2 linked regions of the Danio rerio genome follow. Each later gene encodes a partner of the first gene's protein in a complex. Links are inferred from orthologs where the notes say so. Each region holds a gene or a part of one and is shown on either strand. Other genes may lie near its edges. The genes, in order: cpsf6 and tnpo3.

Region 1 (3,830 bases):
AAATATATGCATTTGATTGGCCAGCAGATTTGATAAAAAAAAAAATCCATTTAAGATAAAGTGACAATCTGCAACTTTTTATGTTTTTATCTTGTAAATGTAAATTTTATCACTGTTTTGGAGCACACTAGACTATAGATATCCTTAAAACTAACATCTAATGTTAATTTTGATTTCACGGGGACTTTAAACTTACTGAATGAGAATAGCGTTGCTGTATGTGTGCTGCAGTTTAGAAGAGTGTGTTTTGGTCCACGCAGGCACACAGTCAGGACAGATGTCAGGAGAGGGGAAGGCTGGTCCTCCAGGCTCAGGATCTCGAGGTGGAGGATTCCCTCCTGGCAAAGGTCAGAGACGCTTTCCTGGCCCACCTGGACAAGGAGACCGCTTCCCTGGACCGGTTGGACCTGGCGGTCCTCCACCACACTTCCCAGGTATAAGCTTGAACAGGAGTGAACTTTTGAATTGTCAGTATATACATCAGAACTAACAGCTATTATTATAGGTCTGCAATGGGAGGAAACAAATAGGACTGTAATTTGTTCTATCAGTTGTTGGATCTATAACAACTGATAGAGAAGATTTAATAATGCAAGTTTCTACAACATTATACAGACTTAAAGTAGAGGGTAAAAATGTACATTTTTGTTGTGGACCGGCACATATTGGAATAATGGGAAATAAAATTGGCAGATAAATTGGCAAAAAGAATCATTGAAGAAAAATCAAGTAGATGTTAAAGTACCTTTGGGAAGGAATGAAATGAGATCAGTAATTAATAAGGAAATAACAAATATTTGGCAACAATATTTGGTCTGAAAACTGATGCTCTGAGGTGAATGGGTCACTTTTCAAGTGAATCAGAAAAAGTTGATCAATTGTCCTAAATCAAGAATGGGTGATGTTTAATGTTCACCACAAAACTAGCAGTGTGAGCTCCCAAAATCATACGGTTAGTTTTGATTTCATGTGTATTTTTGTAATCCCTTCTCCTCTCTGCTTCAAAATGTAATGCATCAAATCTTCTTGCAGGTATGCAGGGCCCACCACGTCTTCCCTCTGGCCCACCTGGGCCCCTGGGACCTCCAGGCCCCCCTCCACCTGGACAAGGTCTGCCTCCTCCCCTCGGCGGACCCCCTAACAGAGGAGACCGTCCTCCTCCACCTGTCTTGTTTCCTGGTCAGTTCGGGCAACCCCCAATGGGCCCGATGCCTCCTGGGCCTCCCCCACCAGGATACGGGCCTCCCCCAGGCCCCCCTCCACCTCAGCAGGGACCACCCCCTCCAGGACCCTTCCCTCCCCGTCCACCTGGGCCCTTAGGACCCCCGCTTGGCCTCGCACCCCCACCACACATGCAGGGACCCCCACCTGGAGGCCCACCGCCGGCTCCTCACGTCAACCCGGCCTTCTTCCCACCACCTGGAAACAACATGCCATCATCTGACGGCAGAGGACCCCCACCTGGAGACCCGTACGGCCGCCCACCTCCTTATGACAGAGACTTCCCTGGTGGCAGGTAATAAACACATCGCCCACAACTACACCTATACTCTAAAAAGCCCGAAGTGTATGTGCACAGTTAAATGAACAGTCTTACTATAGTATGCTGTGATGGCATGCTCACTACAACAGATAACACTGCAAATATGCATTCAATTGTTTTTCATTGGAAGCACATTTAGATGTAATTTAATCATTTCACATTACATTTTAATATTGACAGCCATAACTTGATAACATTTTATAAATATTAAAAAATAAGTGAAGTTTCACAAACTAATTTCTAGAAGAGCACGTGATATGATCAACTAGAGCTGATCCTCATCACTGATCATTAGCTAGCCTATCAGATCATTCCAAAACTACTATGAATATCCTGCCTAAACTCCGTTCCCTGTCTTCGTTTTTGGCAAACCCCCTTCTATCCTTCCCTTCTCCTTCCTCGTTAATTATATGATAGGGCAACAGGGTGGCTCAATGGCTGGCGCTGCTGCCTCGCAGTGGGAGGGCCAAAGGTTCAAGTTCTAATTGAGCCAGTCGTTACTCTCTGCCATGAGTTTGCATGTTCACCCTGTGTTCCCGTATGTTTTCCTCGGGTACTCCGGTTTCCTCCAACAGTCTTAAAACATGTACATAAGCGAACTGTAAAGTCATAAGCACTTAACGCATACATACTGAATCAGTCAGAACCACCATATTAACCATAGTATAAAACAAACGAGAGGGCTCTCGAAGAATACCCGATCTCCTATCCAAACTAATGCTCATTGACCAAACGGGAACCTTGTGCTCTTCGATTTGAGATTCAGGTTCTCTCCTGGGACAGCATGCCAAACCTGCTATCATAGTTAAGCATTGTCTAAGTGTGAACTCCTAAATGTATTTATATATTGTTACGTGTTAATGATGTTAAATAATTAAAAGGATGATACGTAACAATCAGTGAGTCCATTGATGCTGGGTGAATAAGGAGAAGACACAAACGCTTGATAAGTGAAACAAAAAGTAAGTATTTATTAATGGATAATGTCAAACAATGAATATGAGATGGAAGATAAATGTAATTTTAAATAATTGAATTAAATAAAGAAAAATAGGAGTGTTGCCAAAACAAAGAAATAAATATAACAAAACGATCTAACTAAACCCCAACCCACTAAACTGACTGATCAAAGAAAAATGCAGAAACAAAACAGTAATCTTCAGCACGTAGCTTAACTAAACTTCATAACTCCCAAACATAATTACACATGAGGCAACGCCTCCAAAAACGAACTAATACAAAGTTATACTAAGCTGCTCGAAATACTAGAATTCTTGTAAAGTACAGACTGTTAGCCATTAGCAAAACAAGATCTCAGGTAATCCAATTCTCATAAAGATCGTTCATATTCTCACTATACATTAACCTGAGCAGCACAAGTTTAACTGATAAATCCATATCAACAAAGAGAAAACTAGAACACAGCACTCGCAAACAAACCAAGCGGAACAAACAAGTCAACAGTTTGAGAGATTGACAGGCCAAGCGCTCCTCCAGAACAGCGCAAGCGCACCGGTTTTATACTGCGCGGACCCAATCCTTATTAGCGCCGATTGAGTGACGAAGGTGAATGACAGCTCACTCGACCAATGGTAGCACACCTGAAACAGGATAGGACCACTGCGAGAGAGAGAGAGAGAGAGAGAGAGAAGAGCGCAAAGCAGAAAACAACAAAAATACCACAAAACATACGTGAAACGTAACTATTTTTTTAAACCTGTCTATCTTGCATTTGGATGGTATTTCCTTTTATTTTGGTGTCGCTTTAGTTTTTAGTTGCTGAAATGTCTGTGCCTCACTTTGATTTAACATGTGATGCAATGTGATTCAGCACTAACGACCACTGCAGCTCTTTGTGTGAATTCGATCCCTGAAGCATTACGCTTCGCTCTGACTCGTGCTTTTAGTTTGCGCGTGTTCATTAATCAGCATTTTGTGTGCTTCAGGGACATGGATGCGTCTCGCACTCCCCTGAGCGAAGCTGAGTTTGAGGAGATCATGAACCGGAACAGAGCGATTTCCAGCAGCGCTATTTCAAGGGCCGTTTCTGATGCCAGTGCAGGTGTGGAGATCATTACACCCAGCACAAATATGAGGTGTGGTGTGTTGTGAATTAACCGTTTCCGTTTCTGCAGCTGATTACGGCAGTGCTATAGAGACTCTGGTGACGGCCATCTCTCTGATCAAGCAGTCGAAGGTTTCTGCTGACGACCGCTGCAAAGTTCTCATCAGCTCACTGCAGGACTGCTTGCATGGAATCGAGTCCAAATCGTATGGCTCTGTGGCA
Region 2 (3,830 bases), about 12 Mb from region 1:
CACCTGAGGCAAAAAGTCAAGTTCATTATATATGTATTAATAGATGTTGTAAGCGTATAGCTTAAAACAGTGGTGTCCAAACTTTGTTCTGGAGGGCCAGTGTCCTGCTGAGTTTAGCTTCAACTTACTTCAACAAAGTTTCTAGTTAATCTAGTATGGCTGCGTCCAAAATCGCATACTTCCATACTATTCGGTATGGTAATAACAATATGGGAGCCGAGTAGTATGTCAGAGTTTGAAAATCAGTATGCAAGAAGTACCCGGATGACTTGCTATTTCCGGTGAGATTCTGAAATTTGCATGATGCACGATGTACTGTCCCATGATCCCCAGCGAGAGAATTCATGAATGGGAGTGAAGCGGCGCAACTCATCGGGTAGGTCATGTGATCATGACAAAATGATGGATGTAGTACGTCCAATTCCATTGATACTGTATGGATTGTACTTTTCTAATGACCGAGTAATATATTTACATAGTAGGTGGTTTTGGACGCAGCCTTTATCTAGTAAGAGCTTGATTAGCTGGTTCAGATGTGTGATTAGGGTTGTAGTTAAACTCTCCAGCACACTGGCCCTCCAGGACTGAGTTTGACATCCCTGGCTTAAAACCTCTTGAAACTGCTCAGTTTTTGGCTAAAATATCTTGTACACTTGTTGTAAACTTATTTCTTAAAACTTAAAAGTTCTTAAAGCTATGTCGCTGCTCGATTTTGGCTAAAATATCTTGGACATTTAAACCTTTTTGCCGTGGGTGAACTATACTTGGAGCATTTTTAGCAGTAGGATACATTTTTGTTCATTTTTAATACATTTTTCTTTGATTTTAAATATTTGTGAAACCCACAGGAAGACATAAAGAGTGAAGAATGACATTAAAATATGGACGAAAAAAATGACAAAATATGTATATACAAGGTTTCTGTTTATGACTTTCATCTGGTAGTTTTTATATAAAGTGACTTATTACATTCAAGATTTTTGATTTTTGTTTTAATCAATTAATTTAGTTTTGATAAATATTTTAAATAAAATGAATAAGATGAAAAAATATATTTTTTCTTTATTTTATGTACTGTATATTTAGTTATGTGAAGGATTTAGTTTTTTATGAGGTTTTTCATTGAGTTTTATAATGGTTTATATGATTATACATATTTCATCAGTTTTTTTAATTAAAATATTTTTTCATAGCAATATTAAAATTATCCTGAATTTTTCTTGTCTTTTTTTAAAATCTAATTTAATGATATTTTATTTGTATTTACCATTTTTTATTGATCCTTTTTGTCACTATTCCTATTTAAACCACTTCATACATTTGTAGATTTTTTTTAATATGTATTATTTTGTCATAAATGAGTCTGTGATATTATAAAATGCTCATACACGTTCTTTCCTGTGCTTGTAGACGTTTTGTCGCTGGCTGGAAACCACACTTAAGGGTCTTCCTAAAGAAACAGCAGGGGGCGCTGTCACCGTCACACACAAACAGCTCACTGACTTCCACAAGCAGGTCACGAGGTGAGTCCGTCTGTTCCTGCCGTCACAATGACTCTTCAAAGCACACCAGACGCATTAGGATGCATTCATCGCAATTACATTACACTCCCAAACAAAATGGCCATGATTAAAAGAGCTGTTGTCCACAATTAAAAGTAATACGGGACTCATCAGTGTAGATTACAGGCAGCATTTGTATCTTGGCCTATTGCAAGTTAGTGCACGTTCAGATTACTCTGTGGTTTACTCTACACAACAAGCCTAAACAAGCACCAATAACCAGTCGTCCAGGAGGGTGAAGTATGTCGTTCCTCTGCAAGTCTTGACCTGAGATGCCAAATACAAACTCTTATAGTGAGTGCAGGATGAGTCATAGACTTGCGTGGAAAGTCCAACCCACGCCAAAATGACTGATTTATTGCTCGCGCATGCTTATGGCGTGCTCGCGAGTTGATTTTAAAATAGCAGGCCATCTTGTTGTTTAGTTCTGTTGAAATGTGATGATAATTTTCTGCCTTTCTGTAAATCTGTCACCATAGTGCAGAGGAATGTAAACAGGTTTGTTGGGCCATAAGAGAGTTTACCAGGCTGTACCGATAGCTGTCTTCTACCTGCTGATGCTGCAAGACCAGGTGAGAGAGAGAGAGGAAAATGAAACAATTTGTCAGTGTATTGTGCATAACATTGAATGTGTCTTTTCTATGTTTATTCAAATTAGGGCTGCACAATATACTGTTTCGGCATTGACATCGCAATATGTGCATCACCAATCGCGAGATACTCGATGAGTCTGAATAATGTTCACCAGGAGCTTCAGAATTGATTTAATTACTGCATTTATATAGAAATGTATACGATTTATCCCCCCCCAAAAAGTTTTTCTTTATTTTTCAATATTTTTCTAGTCCAAATATTCACATTTTAGAGCAAAAACAAGATTATTTGACTTAATTTAGCTTGTTTTAAGGAAAAACTCTTAATTTTGCCTAATTTCCAAAGTTGAAAACAAAACTATTTGACTTGATCTAAGAATTTTTAGATATTTGGACTAGAAATGAGACTAAGCAAAATAAGAAAAGCATGTTTTGCATTGGGATTATTGCATTTCTGTACCTGAATACTGTTCAGACTCGCCAGAAAAACTGTCAAACAGTGCTTTTTAAACTAGATCTTGTTAAACTTATCGCAGAAAAATAAAATATTGCAATATCAGATTTTTCTAATATCCTGCAGCTCTAGTTCAAATGATTTTTAATGTATAAAGTGAATACAAACACAGTGCGCAGCATAAATGAGTATCCCTTCCATTTGAAAATGCTAGACTTTTATACATTTTTATCAGTAAATGTGGACGAAACAATAGTGATGGAGGAAATTAAGATTTCGTTTCAAAAAAGTTGAACCAGTTGCTTTGCAAAATGTATTTCGAAGCATTTAAAACACCTAGAGAGACCCGGTGGTCAAAATAATAAATAAAAACGTGTTATTACAAACTTGTCTGCATAATACACATTTTAAAGGCGTATATATAGATTTTTTTTTTTGCATGGTGGGCTCTGCTGAACAGGCCAACAAGAGAAGAGACTAGTAACTATTATTCCTTTTCAATTTACAAATGCATTCATTCATTTTCCACAGCGGAATGAACTGCTAATTTTTCCGGCATACGTTAAACGCAACCGATACCCTTCCAACTGCAACCCAGCACTGGGAAATCATTTTACAAATGTCTTCAAACTTTTAAAAGCAAAAAAAAAAGGTTCAGTAATTTACCACTGGCCTTTATGGCATTACACAGATCACCCCCAGCTGGAGAATCATTAAATGTTAGAATATTACCATTAATATTATAGAACAAAACCATTAAATATTAACTTGCAAATTTGATGCATGCTCCAAAACCACAGATTCGAAATGGAAGATTCTGAAAGGTTTCAAAGCTTCTTGAAGCAGTGTTTTGAAAGCAGCTATCACTATAAAAGTAGTTTAATTAAAAGCATTGATTTGGTAATGTATGTGTGCCCACCTAACATCTTTGGCATAAATAAAGTGTTGCAAAAATGATAACAACCTATGACAACTCGAACGAATCCAATATTTTCACCCTCCCCCCCATTCATTGACTTGTTTTCTCCTAAAACATTCATTGGGATGTTTCTATTTTCACCAGAGTATCTGTGGGGTCTTAATGTCCTAAATTTCAAAATTTACATTTTAGGCCTTAAAGTCTTAAATTCACTGAAATATTGCTTTGTAGATCTTTAATCATTTTAAACGGGTATTAATGTAAATGTCCATGTAAAGCTACCCAATCAGGCCAACACCCAT

The links.
Region 2: the proteins of cpsf6 (region 1) and tnpo3 are in contact, whole or in part, in a crystal structure (PDB 6GX9), measured with the Homo sapiens proteins. The link is inferred for Danio rerio from reciprocal best matches to the Homo sapiens genes CPSF6 and TNPO3. Residues at the interface, in NP_008938.2 of Homo sapiens: Tyr521, Arg522, Glu523, Arg524, Ser525, Glu527, Arg528; in NP_036602.1 of Homo sapiens: Arg620, Asn656, Arg657, Glu660, Arg661, Arg664, Arg667, Phe668, Arg671, Ser698, Cys699, Tyr702, Ile706, Asp709, Asp747, Asp750, Asp751, Arg754, Arg758, Gln761, Cys793, Arg797.

Annotation. Positions count from the first base shown.
Region 1 is NC_133179.1:2,380,796-2,384,625, reverse strand, and holds part of cpsf6 (cleavage and polyadenylation specificity factor subunit 6), read left to right. Parts: intron 1-260; coding exon 261-434; intron 435-1,032; coding exon 1,033-1,516; intron 1,517-3,489; coding exon 3,490-3,605; intron 3,606-3,678; coding exon 3,679-3,830. UniProt on the Homo sapiens protein: Component of the cleavage factor Im (CFIm) complex that functions as an activator of the pre-mRNA 3'-end cleavage and polyadenylation processing required for the maturation of pre-mRNA into functional mRNAs.
Region 2 is NC_133179.1:14,176,093-14,179,922, forward strand, and holds part of tnpo3 (transportin-3), read left to right. Parts: intron 1-1,410; coding exon 1,411-1,523; intron 1,524-2,041; coding exon 2,042-2,102; 3' UTR 2,103-2,134; intron 2,135-3,830. UniProt on the Homo sapiens protein: Importin, which transports target proteins into the nucleus. Specifically mediates the nuclear import of splicing factor serine/arginine (SR) proteins, such as RBM4, SFRS1 and SFRS2, by recognizing phosphorylated SR domains.